Linked DNA regions of Notamacropus eugenii. The protein of the gene in region 2 purifies or fractionates together with the protein of the main gene of each other region. This does not show direct contact. Links are inferred from orthologs where the notes say so. Each region holds a gene or a part of one and is shown on either strand. Other genes may lie near its edges.

The links.
Region 1: the proteins of RASSF7 (region 2) and PPP1CC purify together in Homo sapiens (affinity purification with mass spectrometry; 4 studies listed by BioGRID and IntAct, counting the BioPlex papers as one, with this or other methods). This does not show direct contact. The link is inferred for Notamacropus eugenii from reciprocal best matches to the Homo sapiens genes RASSF7 and PPP1CC.

What each region holds. Positions count from the first base shown.
Region 1 is NC_092875.1:35,564,173-35,571,888, reverse strand, and holds the start of PPP1CC (serine/threonine-protein phosphatase PP1-gamma catalytic subunit), read right to left. Parts: upstream 3,134-7,716; 5' UTR 3,051-3,133; coding exon 2,996-3,050; intron 1-2,995. UniProt on the Homo sapiens protein: Protein phosphatase that associates with over 200 regulatory proteins to form highly specific holoenzymes which dephosphorylate hundreds of biological targets.
Region 2 is NC_092873.1:27,747,559-27,755,485, reverse strand, and holds RASSF7 (ras association domain-containing protein 7), read left to right. Parts: upstream 1-4,905; 5' UTR 4,906-5,249; intron 5,250-5,511; exon of another isoform or gene 5,512-5,642; intron 5,643-5,938; 5' UTR 5,939-5,975; coding exon 5,976-6,078; intron 6,079-6,170; coding exon 6,171-6,832; intron 6,833-6,918; coding exon 6,919-7,173; 3' UTR 7,174-7,677; downstream 7,678-7,927. Other genes in the region: LMNTD2 (lamin tail domain-containing protein 2), read right to left, coding at 127-282, 510-597, 691-843, 1,038-1,267. UniProt on the Homo sapiens protein: Negatively regulates stress-induced JNK activation and apoptosis by promoting MAP2K7 phosphorylation and inhibiting its ability to activate JNK.

The DNA.
Region 1 (7,716 bases), on a different chromosome or scaffold from region 2:
ATGGTACTTGATGCTCTAAAAACTGAAATTTCATTTTAGAATTTCCACCTCAGAAATGACTGCTCCAATGTACGTTAATGTTATTAATATAACCAATGTACTTATTCAGGAGGAAGCTTTCAAAGGATTAAACAGAAGGAGGTTATTATAGATACCCTTTTTAGAGAAAGGCTGCATCTATGATGTCAAAACAAGTCATGGAATTCTAATCTGAGTGCAGCCCTGACCACAGACTTGTTTACATGACTTTGGGCAAGAACTACTCTAAAGGAAAAAGAAATTTTGCCTCCACTGATAAAAGAGAAATAAACAGTCCATTCTAAGTTTCCAGGAAAATGTGGCAACTACCATTAGAAACCATGAGCAAAGGTTCTGAGTTTAATGTGCACATCTTATGCTTTATAAAGCACAATTGCTACTTAGTATAATGAGCTGAGTGCACCTCTTAAACATGCAAGTATCCCCAAGCCTTTACTGAAATTATTAGCAAGTTTATTTTTCTTCATCTTACAATAGCTTAAAAAATGGAATGCTACTAATGTCAAAAGTTACTTCATTGTTGATTGTTTACAAAATACTATCTGTACACATCAACTTCTGTTCCATGTAAAATACCATTCCTGAGACGGAAAAAAAATAGTATGAAAAAGCTTAGTACCCCTAAAACCAAACTGACAAAATTCACATAAATTAAAATTAAAACTCTTCTGCGAAGAACTGACCCTGAAGCCAACCTAAGGAAGTCATCCATTTTGAGTTGGCTTCTCTACTGTGGAGTGGTTTTGCAGAGCCACACACCATCATCCTTACAAGCATGCAACTTTCTAAATCAATTTAAAGGCCTGTCCATTTTGAATATGTAAAAGATCTGCCTCAAGGAGGGAAATCTAGTACTGGCTGAAAAAGCATTTTCTTCCTATTTCCCGACATATCTCAACGGTTAAAAAAAGGAGGGTGTGTGTGTGTGTTAAAAACCCCACCACACAAAAAAATCTTACTAAACTTCATTATTAAGTCTTCCTACTTGGATGGTGAGCCACTGCCCAAGTGCTGATTCCAAGCATATGCTACAGGTTATTTAAATATTCATGTGCTGGCCTTCCCCAGCACCTAAGCATTAAGGAAATACTAGTTTATTACATTTAGTTAAATGATCAACTCATGCTACATGAGACAAGACGAGCTTTGCAATGACAGATTTTCTAAATGACAGGTAAGGAAATGTAAAATGAGGCTTCCAAAGGCAATATGCAAGTATGCTGGTATAAAAAACTGCATTAATAAATAAAACATATTAAAGACAGAATAATCATAATTTAATCATTTACAGGTTAACTTTGACTCTAGGTTTTAGGCCTGTAACTCATAAAAGTATCACATGAAGACCTTTTAAGTGACAAAGTAAATACTGGAGAGTTTATCTTTGAAGAGCAACCCACCAGCCTAACAAATGAACAAGAGGAAAAAGAAAGAATTCAATTTCTTCCATTTATCCAATTTCAACTTCAGATATTTAAACAGATTCTTTGCTCATCAGAGAATGCAATCTAGCTTTCATCGGTTTCTGGTCAAGGGAAAACTGCAATTTCATGTAAGCAAAGAACTACACTGAACACTCATAAAAACGGAATCATCTCATCTGGTAAAATATCTTTAACAAACATCAAGACAAAGAGCTCACATCTAACAGTAGCAACATGTCAGCAACACTGAAGGGGATACATACACATTCAGTTAGGTGGGTTTTTGGTTGTTGTTTAAAAAGAAGCTATTCGAAGGAAAACAAAATTTCATTTGGGTCATTACCCGTAGGTCATTTGCCCCCAAAGAGATGGGAATTTTAATGCCACACGGTTCATGCGCTTCTTTACTTTCTCCCCTCAGCACCAGTAACATTCACATTACAAAGAACCTCTTAAGAGGACGGCCGATAAGCACTTCACAGGAAACTTAGCAAAGCTGGACTACTTAGTGCCAAGAGCTCTTCGAAAGTCTGGATAAAATGTTAGCCTTGTTTCATATGCCCTGAATCTCCGGCTGCTTTACTGAAATGCTTCGCATCTTTTCCTTACATCGATCTCCAATCCTTTAGTCAAGTCAAAACTAGTGCATTTTAGCCCTCAATTATTACAAGAAGGGGAGGGGGGGAGGAATCACCTATTTTTTTTCTTAAACAAACAGAACCTTTTTCCCTCCTTGGTTCAGGTTTTATGCCAGAAGTGAAATAAGTGCCTACTTACTCAACGGAATTGTATTTTTTTTAAAGCAGGGAGTGGGGAGAGAAGGTGAAGTCATTAAAGTCCAGGTCTCTCGACTATAAACTTTAGAAAGAATACTCTCCAGGGCTAAGGTCTGCGGGGGGAGGGAGGGAAAGAGGGTGGGCTGGACAAAAGCCCGCAAACCTAGAAACCTAGTGAACCAACCACCCCATAAAACGGCTTTTGTGGAGGCCACTACGAGAAACCCGGCGCTCGCCCCAGCAGAAGGGGACGGAACACGCCGTCCTGCGGCTTTGGACGAGCCTAGCCAAGCTCACAGAAAAGTCTGCAGAGACCCGCCAAGGAGAAGCGGGGGGCGGGGGGCAGGAGTTACTTCACAGCTCGGTTTCTAATTCAAAGCCAAGGGGCCGGGGGTTGGGGGGGGGGGGTGTCGGGGGGAGCGAAAGCAAGGATTGGGGCAGAGCATCCAGGACGTGTCCGTGCGTCCCCTCGATCGCCGGCGGGGGTCATGAACGAGGGGGCCCCCCCGTCACTCCCCAGGGAGGGCTCAGGGTGTTCGGGGAGCTCTCGCTGTTGGTGCCCCCCCTCCATCTCAGCCTGCAAGGCCAGGCGGCCGGGGGTAGCCCAGAGCCCCCCGGGGCAGCGGCGGGCGCGGGAGCCTAGCACCCCCTAACCCCGCCGTGCACGGCCACCCTGGCCCCCCAGCCCCGGAGCCCCCAGCCCCAGGACCCCCCAGCCCCGGAGCCCCCAGCCCCGGAGCCCCGTCCGCAGCTCACCTTCCAGCAGCCGTTGGATGATACTGTCGATGTTAAGCTTGTCGATATCCGCCATCGCCTCCTCCTGCACCCCGGCCCCGGCGGCGGCGGCGGCGCCTCCTCACCGGCCCTCCCCCCACCCCCCGGCCCGGCCCGGCCCGGCTCGGCTCGGCCCGGCTCGGCCCCAGCAGCAGCAGCAGCAGCGGCGGCGCCGCCGCCCGCCCCCCAGCCCCCGGACTCACGGTCCCGTCCGCCCCTTCCCCACGCTCCAGAGCACAGAGAAGCGGCAGTGGCGGCGGAGGCACCGGGGGAAGCGGCGGTGGAGACGGCGGTGGAGACGGCGGCGAAGGAGGCGGCGGCCGGCTCCCTTCCCGTCCCCTCCCTCCCCCCCCCCAGGCTCCCTCTTCCTCCTTCTCTCCCGCTGGAGCCACGAGAGGGACAAAATGGCCGCCGACTCCTCAGCCAGCCTCGGGCGGCGTATGGATACGCGGGAGCAGCGCGGCAGAGCGGCCGGGACCTCTTTATGGGGGCTAGGGCCAAAGGGGAAGGGGGCGGGGACTCGGCGCGCGAGGCAGGAGGGGGCGGGGGGAGTGAGACGCGTCGCTCAGCGCTCTGCGCCGGGTCCTTCCGCGAACCGGGGAACAAATAGGGCCCCAGCTAGCGAGGGATTTCGAAAAGCCGCGCGGGGCAGACAGGGACCTGGGAGGGATGGTGGAGCTGGAGTTGGCTGCCCCAGCTCTGGGGCTCCTCTTCCCAACTCTCACGGGCCCTTTGAGCCCGAGGCGCACGGGAGCGGCTCTGGACTGCTGGTGCTGTCCAGCCTGGTGGTGTTCCCTCCCCACAGTCCGGAGGTTCCGTTGCATCCTTGGGATCCCCAAGCGCAGCGCATTTGGCCTGGGTCAGGATTAAAGAGGAAGGGGGTGGATTGTTTCTCTGGGGGCTCAGGCCTGCCCCTGTCCAGCCTCGTAGCCCTGCTGAGGGTTTCTCCTCCTTTCTGTGGCTCGGACTTTGGGCTGGATGGTACAGAAGAAAAGCAAATGCTTTCAATGCCCCCATTCTGTCAGAGGACAAGGCGAGGGGGCTTCGCTGGGCTGGCCCAAGAGGAGAACCAGGGTCTGAGGAAAGGGCGCCGGGCTGGGCGAGAGCACGTGGGCGACTAAAGTCACTTAAGAACCTCCTTTTTGTCTGCCTCTGGCTCTCCTTGTCTTTCTCTGTCCTTTCCTCCCCTTTTCTTTTTCTTCACTCTTTTCCTTCCCTTTCTTTCCCTTTATTACACTCTTTTACTCTTTCTTTTTTCCCTCTTCTCCCCTCTCCTCTATTCCCCTCTTTTTGCTCCCTCTCCTTCCCACTTTTGCCCCCTCTTTTAGTCGGCTTCTCATCTCCTTTCCCCCCTCCTCCTCCTCCTTCCTCTCTGTCTCTCTGTCTCTTGTCTCTCCCCCCCCTTTCCCTTCTTCCTTCCCCGCTTCCCTTCTCCTCTGATTCTCCCTTTTTTCCCTTTGCATTTCTGTTTCTTTTCCCTCCTTTCCTCAATCTTTCTCTCCCTTCCTCCATCCCCTCTTTTCTCCTCTCAGTAACCCACTCCTGCAAACTGCCCATGGGGCAAAGACACCTCATTATTTCCCAGAGTGAGGCAGAATTCCAAGAAGGGTCCCAAGTGTCCCTTGCCCCCCTGGAGATAATAAATAAAGAGTTGCTGAATTCACCTCATTCTAAGGAAAGAGAAGTGAAATTCTCTTGTTCCTTCACTCTCTATCCTAAAAATCCCCACTGTTCTCAGACACAGCCTGGGATGAGTCTGGGCTAAGGAGGATGGGGGAGGAGGGAGAAACGAGGAGGGAGGAAGACTTATTTGCAGAAAGCAAAAAAGATAGGGCAATGAAGATTCATTTTCGGAAAAAAACCAAATACAGTGGCATTCATTTTCTGACCAGGAAACTGCAGTGTTTATATTTGTACAATATAATCTGGGTATATGTCTCCCTTGTCTTTAAAGCTTGGAGGTTAAGGGGTTGCAGCCAGGCCCAACCTCACCACCAACTGGCACCAAGAAAGAATCACTTGCCTTTTTCTCCAGTGTCTCATGGTCTTTCTCTGTTAAATGGGAACAATTTAACAGCCCCACAGCTAGCCGTTTTTTGCATGCCTTTTCCAAGGCATGCTGTTGTTTTTCAATAGAGGTTGTATGGGCCTTGCCCCAAACATTTCCAGTGTGCACAGCCGTGCACAGCTGGCTTGTTCTTGCAAGACAGCTCATGTCTGAATGTGATGAATTTAGCACTATACGTAGCAAGAAGCCCGTAATTTTTGTTGGATGGAGAACTGGGTGCAATCTACCAAATTACAAGGAGTCTTAACACTCTTCTGAGTTGGAGCCTCCCAAGCCTGCCAAGGTCACCACATAGGCTTGGCGCATTTTGAAGTTGGTCTGGTTGTGTAACTCACCTGCAGAGAAAGTTTCTTGTGCTCCCTTTGCACGTGGAGAATTTGATTAACTAGGTGAGGAACTCAAGATAGATACTACCTTAATGGTGAGAAAACCTGAGGCTGCTGTTCTTGGCTGGGGGACAGAGGAGAGGGACACTCATTGTTTGACATTTTTATGCCAGAACCAACCATGACAGGAAAAAGACAAAGATTCGATACAGTCTTGAATTTTAAAAAAATTAATTGACATCTCTTACTTTTTCATAATCTCCTTTCTGGACCTATCCTACCTCAGACACTTGCTAACTGTATGACTCTGAGCAAGTCACTCTGTCTGCCTCAGTTTTCTCATCTATAAAATGGAAATAATAGTACCCACCCTTAAAGGCTGTGAGAATTCAAATGAGATAACATTTGTAAGCATGTTATGTGAATACAGTGTACCTAGCTTAGCAAAGTGTTTTTTCTTTGCATCTGATTCTCATAATAACCCTGGGAGATAGGTGCTATTATTATCCCCATTTTTACATTAAGAGTCTGAGGTCAAATTTGAACTCAGGTCTTCCTGACTCTAGGCCCAGCACTCTACCTACTGCTTCTCACAGAAGAGAGTAGGGACTATTTATTTGTCTTAGTATCTTAGGATTGTTCTGATCACTGAATGAGAATAACATAGATAGAGTTCTCTGCAGTCCTTAACATGCTTTATAAATGTGATTACTTTTATATTATTATCACTTATTATCATATTAGCTGTTACTGATCTTTGGTGCTGTTGTTGCAAGAGAGAATATTTGAAAGAAATGGACCACTGGCTGGGTTTTGGACATTATTCTACTGTCTGCAGCTTTTCCTGGGGATTTGCCCTGTAACAGTTTGAGATACATTGATACTCTAACCACCTTCTCATCTCACGTGTCCAGGATCGGGATTGGTGGAGTCTCTGAAATGCTTTCTACAAATCCTTCCATCTGTCCACAGGATGGCTCCTGTTCAGCCTCCTGGGAAGAGACATTAATATTTCAGGGAGATTGTTGGAGCAAAGTACATGGCTGGAGTGAGAGGAAGTGAAGGGGTGTGTGTGTGTGTGTGTGTGTGTGTGTGTGTGTGTGTGTGTGTGTGTGTGTGTGTGTGTGTGTGTGTGTGTACTTGCTTGTATGTGAAGCAGACTTTAGAACTAATCCTTCCTTGAAATTTGCTACTTTCCCTGTGTGGTGAAATCTCCTCTTCTCTACTCCACCAATAATAGTATGTTAGGTTTACAAAGCATTTTATATGTGTTTTCTCATTTGATGCTATCACCACAAGGCAGGTGATAGCATTATTCCCACTTTACAGATGAGGAAACTGAGGCAAACACAGGTCAAGTGATTTACCAGGGTCATACAATTAGTAAGTGTCTGAGGGAAGATTAAAACTCAGGTTTCTTAACTTCAAATCCCACACTGTAACTGCTGTATGGTTTAGTTGTCTCTCTGTTCTTTGTATAAACTAGCAGACATGGGAGGGTAGATTATGTTATGTAATGGTGGGCATAAGTCCTCCAAATTGCTTCAGTGGAGCTGCCTTCTTGAGCCAGGACTGAGCAGCTGTCTCCTCTGGATTCATTAGATATCACAGAACCATTGCCCGAGGCTGAGTGTCACTGTCCCACTGTGTCCCCCTTCTCCCAGAGCTGGAGTGTCTCTGTCACAACTAGTTAGCTCACTTGGTTAATATTCAGTGAGGAGGAGGCTGCTGGCTTGCCACCCCATAGCCAAACATTTTCCCTGAGCAGAGATGGCATCTTTGGCTAGTTAACTTGCATGTGTGTGTCCTTGAACATGAAAAGGGTGAGAGTGTGGCTGGTTGGGGACCAACTTTCCTCACTGCTAGAAGAAGTAGCATATCAAAGTATATATCCTGTTGGTGGTACTGGCTTCTCAACTGTGCAGGAGGGATGCTTAGTGGGTCAGTCCATAAGCATTTCAAAACTGAGAGGGGGTGGTATTTGCATCTGGGACAGGGAAGGATACTAGGAAAGGCCTCTTGCAGAATGGAAGATTTAAAGTGTCTTTGAGCTGTGGCAGTCCCAAGATTGCCTTCAGGAACATAGTGAAGAAGGCCAAGAAACTGTCCAAGCCCTGCCTTGAGAGTCTCAGATTGTTTAGAAGATGTCCTATCTGAAAAAAAAATGGAAAAGAACCTGGGTTCAAATCCTGCCTTTGACCCTTAAGAATTATGTGAACTTGGGGAACATTTTGCCTTCTCTGTTCCTCAGTTTCTTCCACTGTCAAATGAGGGAGGGTTTAAGACTCCTTTCAGCTCTAGAGCTAGGA
Region 2 (7,927 bases):
GACTGCACAGAAGGGTCACTAGATCCAGCATGGGAGAGAGGAAGGGGATTGGGGGGGAGGGAAGATGGATAGGGCAGCTTCCCAAGCAGGCACATTTGGGCAGGGTGACCAGCCAAGCTCACTCACTTCTACACTGCCTGTCTGGGAGCGCAGCACACGTCCAGCCCACGAGGATCGGGCCAGGTGCAAGAGGCATGACCGCTGGAAGGTCTGTACCTCATCCTCCAGGCACCGCAGGCGTGCATGGGCCTCCTGAAGCTGATTCTCCAGCTCTGTCTTCTCCTATAGGGAGAGATGAGAAAGGGTCTGCAGAGCCCCAGGCCCAGCGGCCCCAGGGGGAGGAACAACTCTGCAACCTGGAGAGAGCAGCCAGCCTGGGGGGAGGAGGGCACCAGCCCCAGCAGACTGGGGGCGGGGGTGGGGTGGGGTGGGGGGGTACCAGGCCCAGCAGACTGGGGTGGGAGGGTTGGTCCAGGTTCAGGAGCCTCAGGCCTACAGAAGAGACACACTTGGCAGGCTTGCTCCTTTTGGGCACTCAGCTCCTGAGTCATCTTGTCAATCTGCTGCTGCAAGGCTTTGATCTGCTCCCGGGAGGTCCTGTAGGAAGGTCAGAGCAGGGGTGTGTGGGAGGAAGGTACACAGGGAGGGGACAGAAGCCTGATGGGGAAGGGGGCCCTGAGGGTTACAGACCTTTCTGGCTTCGAGTCTGTCAGCTCATGGAGAATGTAAGTCATCCGCTTTCCAGATGGACACTGAGCAGCCTTCCGAAGAGCTTCAATTTCCAGCTCCTTTTGAGCCAGCAGCAGCCTCAAGACTTTTGGATCCAGGTGCTCCAAACGGCAACTGTAACCACCATATCTGTAGCCCTTGAACCCTGGCACTGGTCCCAGGTTCCAGAGCTGGACACGATCCTGGCCTTGAATGCTCAGCCGGGACCTCCTGGACTCTAGCCCCAGTAGCAGAGGCCTTACATTCCAGCCCTGGTGTCCCCCCCGACTCCCTGCCCCGGCCCCTGGACCCTCCATTAGGGCTCTTACTTCTGGCTGTTGGGAGACATCAAGAAGGAGACAGAAGACAACTTGCCATTGGCACCTTCAGGCATTGTTCCGGATTCTGTGGCCTCCAGGAAGTCGCTGCTCCACATGAAGGAGGGCCAGGAGATGGTCCAAGAGGGGTCATGGACCTGGAGCCCCTGTCCCAAGTCACTTCCCAGCTGCTCCAGGCTGGAGGAGGCATCTCCCCCCTGCTCCACAGGCTGCCCAGCCATCCTTGGTGTTCCTGGGGGGAGCCGCCTGGGAGACAGGCTGGGCTGCTGCAGCCGACTAGAGGTGCCCACCTACGGAGCAGAAGAGGGGACAGACTCTCCAGCCGCCTGTATAGTGTCCCAATCCCTGGGGGTCCTCCCAGATGCCACCAGCTCTAGTGGAGCGAGGCGTGGCAGGATTCCTTAGTCCCATTTTACAGATGAGAAAACTGCCTCAGAGTTTCAGGTTTCTGCTCCCCCCCAAACTGAACCAGAGGCTGCTGGTGGTCAATCTTCCCTCTCAATTATCCAGCTCTGGCAACTACCCCTCCCCCCTCACCTGAGGCAGACTGTGAGCTCAGGGTTCTGGAGCCCAGGCTTTGTTGCTGTTTCCACGGTTACGAGCCACCTCCTGCCCCAAAGGCCCCAGAAGGAGGGGCTGTTTGTGCTCCAGCATTTCATATGCCTCAATTGTTCCTTCTGGCACACTAGGCTCTAGCAGGGGTGGAACTGGGAAGAAGGAGGCTATCCTAGAGGGAGCTCACCAGCAGAAGGGCCAGCCTGCTCAGTTTGGCCTCTTCTGGGGAAGTCTGGAGGAGCAAGAATCTCCTCTGTTTGAGATTCCCCCCTTCTCCTTCCCTAACTGTCCCTCCCCCAGCTAGAGCTGCTCTCTGCTGGGTCTCCTCAGAGGTGGCTCCAGACATGGGGAGCAGCCAGGTAGAGGACACAGCCACCCAGGAAGAACCATTAGAGACGTGATGATGGATCAGCTAGAATTGATTCAGCATCTCCAATGTGCCAGGCATCACACCAAGCCCAGGGGATACAAAGAAAAGGAAAAGAGTCCCTGGCCTCAAGGAGCTCCTGGTCTAAAGGGGGGACAACATAGAACGAACTTTGTATGAGTGGCCAGAAGCTCAAAGCATGAAGGGCCATCCGAAAAGGGGTCTTTCAGTAGACACTTGGAAGAAGCTAGCTAGGGAAGCTGGAGATGCAAAGGCAGAGTCCAGAAATGGAATAAACACAAGCTGGCCAGTGCCCCTGGACCCTAGAGTGTAAGGAAGAAAGAGACAATGCTTTTAAGGCCAAAAAAGATTTCGTCGTTAGTCCTAGAGGTGGCTGGGGGATGAGAAAGTGCCAGGGGGTCTGAGGGTAGAAGGTCATTTACGAGATCATTGGTGACTTGAGGAGGGCAGATTTAATCAAATGATGTGAACAGAAGAGTGAGGAGTGGCAATGCTGGTTGTAGATGGCTTTCTCCAGGAATTCAGCCACAAAAAGAAAAAGAGAAGGGGGTAGGGGCAGCTAGAGACGGTAGGGATCAGGAAAGAGGTTCTTTTTCCAGGGTTGGGGGCGTGTTTGTAGGTCATACACAGATGGAGCCAGTAGCATCAGAATGACTAGGGGCTGTCTAGAAAAGGCACTGTGGTGAGCAGGATAGTGCCTCAATCAAGGTGGCTGCCTTGGTCCAGTCGGGGTCTCTTCTTGCAGCCCTAAGGTTGGCAGTCTTTGGCTAAGAAAACAAAAGCAGTGCCCTGCTTCTCTGTCAACCATGTGTCCTACGATGCTGGGACCCTTCCCTTTCCCTGGGGAGAGCTAAAAAATGAAAACCATACATCCACTGAATTGTCCTCAGCAATCAGCAAATGTGTTAAGCACCTACTACACACTGTTGAGGTTTGGGGTGCTAGGAACCACAAAATACCAACAAGCCAGGTCCTGCTCAAAAGAATTCAACACAAGCCTTCTTAAAGCCAAAGAAAAACAACGTTTATGAAAAATTCAACATATTGGGTTGACTCTTAAGGAGCCTAAGTATTTGTAACACTTATATTCACAAGCAGGCCAGATAGAATCTCAGCTAGACAGTTTGAGCTGGATTGAATCTAAGCACCTTCATGGAGGCGAGATGGCACTTAAATACAGAAAAAGACTGAGGGGAGAATCCAGATTTTGCCAAGCAGTCTCAGGTCCCAGGGATAGTCTGGACAGGGGAGGTCAGCCTGGAATATAAATCAAACCCAGGGAGGATCCTGATGGGAGTGGCCCACAGTCCAGACAATCCACAATCCTGGCTGGGCCACTGGGACCTCAAGAGAATGCTAAGAAGTGGCAGGAAGGGAGGAATCATGAGAATGTTAAATCAAGTAAGGGGAATCCAAGGAGCCCCCCAAGGCCAGGCTTTCCGAGGCCCTTCAGACAAATGGGACCAAAACCCTCCCACTCCAAGAGACAAAGGTCTCGGCTTGGGCTTGTACCCCATCAGCCCCAGATACCATTCCAAAGATAAAAAAGGGTTGAGGTCTAATAGGGGAAATAATCTGGATGTGAAAAAAAGTATATCCAGTATATACATATATAGTGCCTTCACCGCTGTCTCCAACGGGGCCTGTCTACAGCTCAGTTATACCCAAGTGTTTGCAGGTTGTCACCTCCATTAAATTGGGAGTACATCGAGGAGAGGGGCTGGCCCTTAGCACAGTGCCTGGCACACGGCAGACTGTGCTTAATAAATGCTTATTTCCTTCTTCCTCTAACTCTTGGACCTTGGGCAAGTCACTTAACCCCAGCTGTCTCATCCTGGGTCATGTCCAGTCATACTGATGAGTATCTGGTCACTGGATTCAGATGGCTCTGGAGGAGAAGTGAGGCTGGTGACCTGCACAGTCCTCCCTCACTCAACATAAAGTCCAGTGCAAGTCATGTCATCATTTCTCCGATGGGTGGTCTTCTTCAGCAAGGAAGGACGAACACACACAACTCGTGGAGGAGGTAACGCTTGAGCTGGGGTTTTATAGAAGGCAGTTGGGGGGGGGTGATGTCTTCACTTGGCCTGAACTGCATTTCAGTGAAGTAGAGCTGCACTCACTCTCTCTTCTAGAGTCATCAGAGTCCAACAGCACGACAAAAGTCAAGGCAGACCCAAGCACTCGGCAGCGCCTGCTTCAGCAGCCTTCAGGGCAGATTGCTCCTGTCTGCCCATTCCCCTGGGGAAGTCTTCAGGTGCTTGGGGGAGACGACCCCCTACCTCTACCCTCAGTGGGGCGGATCCACGTGCCACAGCATCTGGGAGCCAGCGGCCGGACCTCCCTGAACACCCTGGACCGTGTTAGCACAGGGTCTGAGGCTCCTCTCCCTCCACCTCGAGGTCCCACGAGTAGCCTTGGAGAGGGGCAGCCGCTCCGGGTGATGCCCCCCAGGATGAGTGCGCAACCCCTCTTCCAGCCCTCTCGCAGCGCCCCTTCCCCACACCTCCCCTGCCCAGCCCCCCTCTGCCTCTCCATCTCAGGCCCCTCTCGCTCCCCTCTTCCCTTTCTGAGACCCCTCATCCTCCCCCACCACCCAGCACCCAAGAACCGCGTCTGAGACGCGCCGCCGGCCGGTCCCACAAGCCCTGGCGCTCCGCCAGGAGTGTCGGGCGGGGCCTCAGGATAATTCGCGGGGAGAGGACACCACGTGGGCGCCAATGGCTACTGTGACAAATGGATCCAAACGAGCCCGAAGCCGCGCGTGCGCAGACCGAAGGCGGCGGCCGCGCCGTAAGCTCCGCCCCCCGCCGCTGTCCCACCTCTCCCACCTTGCCCCCACTCAGCTTCAAGGCAACAGCCAGTGACGCGCAGCGGGAGCGGGAGCGGTAGGAAAGGTGGGAGATGAGACAAAAGCCAATGGGAGGACGGCAAAGAAGGGGCGGGTCGGCTGCTGAGGGACCAATGGACGGAGAGGTGAGGCCCACCGTTCCGAACAGGTACCCGGAAATCAAGTTCCTCCGGACAAGTCGTGGCTTGGTCAAAGGTCAGAAGTGACAAACCGGGCAACGAGAAAACCATTCCCCCACGCCACGGGCAAGGGGACCCAGGCGTCCGGATTGGAGGACGACTTTGACCGCGGACTTCCGAGAGGCCGCGAGCCACGACCCCTGGAGTTTGGGGAGGTGACCGAACCACGTGACTACACCAAGCCCCTCCCATACCTGTGACCGATGGAAGCGGGGCGGGGCGACAACCAGGTAAACCAGACCCGGCTGGAGGCGTGGGAGCGGAGCCAGGCTCTCCAGCCAATAGATGCCTGACGTAGGGCTGTGAGGCGGGGCCGGAGTCCGTGAGTGGCCAACGGGAGCTCTAGGTGGGGTGGGGTGGGGCAACAGGCATCCGGCCAATAAGGGTGAGGCGTGGGACCGCGGGGCGAGCTCACCACTGCGACCAATGGGCGCCCGGGGTGGGGCGGGGGCGGGACAACAGGCGTAGGGCCAATAGGGGCGCTGGGTGGAGCGGGGCTCGCAGAATCAGCCAATCACGCCGTGGCGTGGGGCTGCGGGGAGGGGTTGCCGGAGCCCGAACCGAGCCGAGCCGGAGCTGGAGCTAGGTTGGTCGGTTTGGATCTGCGGGGAGAGGCTCCGACGGTATGCTCTGAACTGTTGGGTTCTCCTGCTGGGGTGACCTTTGCTAGGGTCAGCCGCTGCTTTTTTGGACCTGGGGGCCGGGGGTCAGAGGTCCTGCTGACCTCTGACCCCGCCCCCCAAACGGGAGCCGGGCTGAGGAGGCAGGGGTTAATGGCCTGGGTCCCCCCTGGGGTGGAGAGCAGAGTTCTGGGCCTTTAAGGGGCCCCTCTGGGGAGCGGGGTGTGGGGGTGGGGGAAGAGCCCAGAGCGCCCCACAACCTGCTGAACGGGGAGGGGTGCCCCTCCCTCCTTCCCCAGGTCCCGCCGGGGATGCCCCGGCCCTGCCCCCGCCCCCATGGAGCTGAAGGTGTGGGTGGACGGAGTACAGCGTGTGGTCTGCGGCGTCTCGGAGCAGACCACCTGCCAAGAAGTGGTCATCGCCCTGGCCCAAGCCCTAGGTGAGCGGGGCAGCCCCTGAGCTGCTGGGGGGGGGGGGGGGGTGCCTGGTGCCAGGGCTCCTCCCCCAAGACCACCTTCTCCTCTTTCCCAGGGCAGACTGGCCGCTATGTGCTCATCCAGCGCCTCCGAGACAAGGAGCGGCAAATGTTGCCCCAGGAGTGCCCCGTGGGGGCCCAGGCCACATGCGGACAGTTTGCCAGTGACGTGCAGTTTGTCCTGCGGCGCACAGGGCCCAGTCTTGCCGAACGGCCTGCCTCAGACCCCTGTCTGCCCCCAGAGCGGTTCCCTGTGCCGGCCAGCCTTCCCCACAGGCCTCTGCCCCCCGCCCCCCATGACTCCCCCAGCCCAGCCAAGGAGGACGTAGAAGGGGAGCTGTGGGGCCTGGAGCACCTGGTCCAGAGCAATGAAGCCGAGCTGGACCAGGAGGGCTTCTGGGCCCAAGAGCTGCGGCGGGAAGTGCAGCAGGAGCTGGAGCGCCAGAGCCGGGTGCGGGAACTGCAGGCGGCCACTGAGGAGTGCGCCCGGCGTCTTCGAGAGCTGGACGCTCAGGCCCGAGCCCTGGAGGAGGAAATCAGCTGGCGGCGAAGGCAGCAGCGGCAGCAGGAGCTGCCTGGCCCCCGAAGGCCCCAGGATGAGGCTGCCGCTGCCCGACTCCACAGAGATCTGCAGACCCAGGCCCTGCAGAGTGAGCGACTAGAAAGCAGCCTGGCCAGCGTTGGCCGGGCCCTGGCGGAAGCCGAGCAGAGCCTGCAGGTGAGGCCAGCCTGATCCATCGCCTTCCAACCCCCCTGAAGGAAGGGATCAGGCCTCTTCATGGCTCCCCTCTCCCACCCATCCAGGCCCAGGCCCAGGAGGTGGAAGAGCTGAATAGGGAGCTCCGACAGTGTAACCTGCAGCAGTTCATCCAGCAGGCCGGGCCAGCACTGCCCCCACGATCCCAGGGCCCTGAGTCCAGCCAGGTGAGAACCTTGGGAGCTGGGTCCCAGGAGGAACACCCCCTTCCTGGGCTCCCTCGGCTCACTCCCTGTTTGCTGCAGGATCCTTCAGCCTCACCAACAAGCCCATCCCACGCCTTCCCAAGATGTCCAGCGTGAGCCCCAAAGCCCACGTAAGTCTGCTGTCCCTGCACCTCGAGGAAGAAGACTCGGAGGAAAACCCCTGTGTGTCTGCCTGTCTGGCACCTTCCTTTCACTCAGCTTCATTGGCTCTCTCTCAAAGGCAGCTCAACGGGACACTGAGGCTGTGCTGAAGATAGTCACTGCCAGGCTGGGGGACCCATGTCCCAACTATCCAGCTGGTTCCCTTCTCCAGAGGTGCTGCACTGGCCAGAGATGAGTGAAGGATCACTGGGAGAGACACATATGGGCTGGGAGGAGAGTTTTGGTGCCACTCTGCCAAAGACCTACAGACAGAAGGACAATGGTCCCACAGGCTGGCCCAGGCTCCTCTGGCTGGAACTCACTTCCTTGGACCCCTGCTATGTGGCCAGTAAACTCCTAGCAGGAGTGGGGGAGAGGGGGCCTGAGTGTATCCCTGCAGGGGAGTGTCCTTTCATCCCTCACTGTGTGGATCCCCCTGGAATAAAGGCACCTAAAGTATGTTATATCTCTGTATCCCGAAGGGTGGGGCAGGCCTGAGTTTCCCTGAGGCCTGGGCCAGTTTTGGACCCTCTCCCTCCTTCTTTCCCCTCCCTGGAAATCTGCAGTCCACTTTGTCTATTGTAATCACAACCTTCCTCTTGTCTTCAGCTCCCACCCACTGCCCCGGCCACAGACCCCCACCCCACGAATAGTCAGCTAAGTCCCTGGATGGTGTCACACCCAGAGCTGTGGACCCCTGGGGACCAAA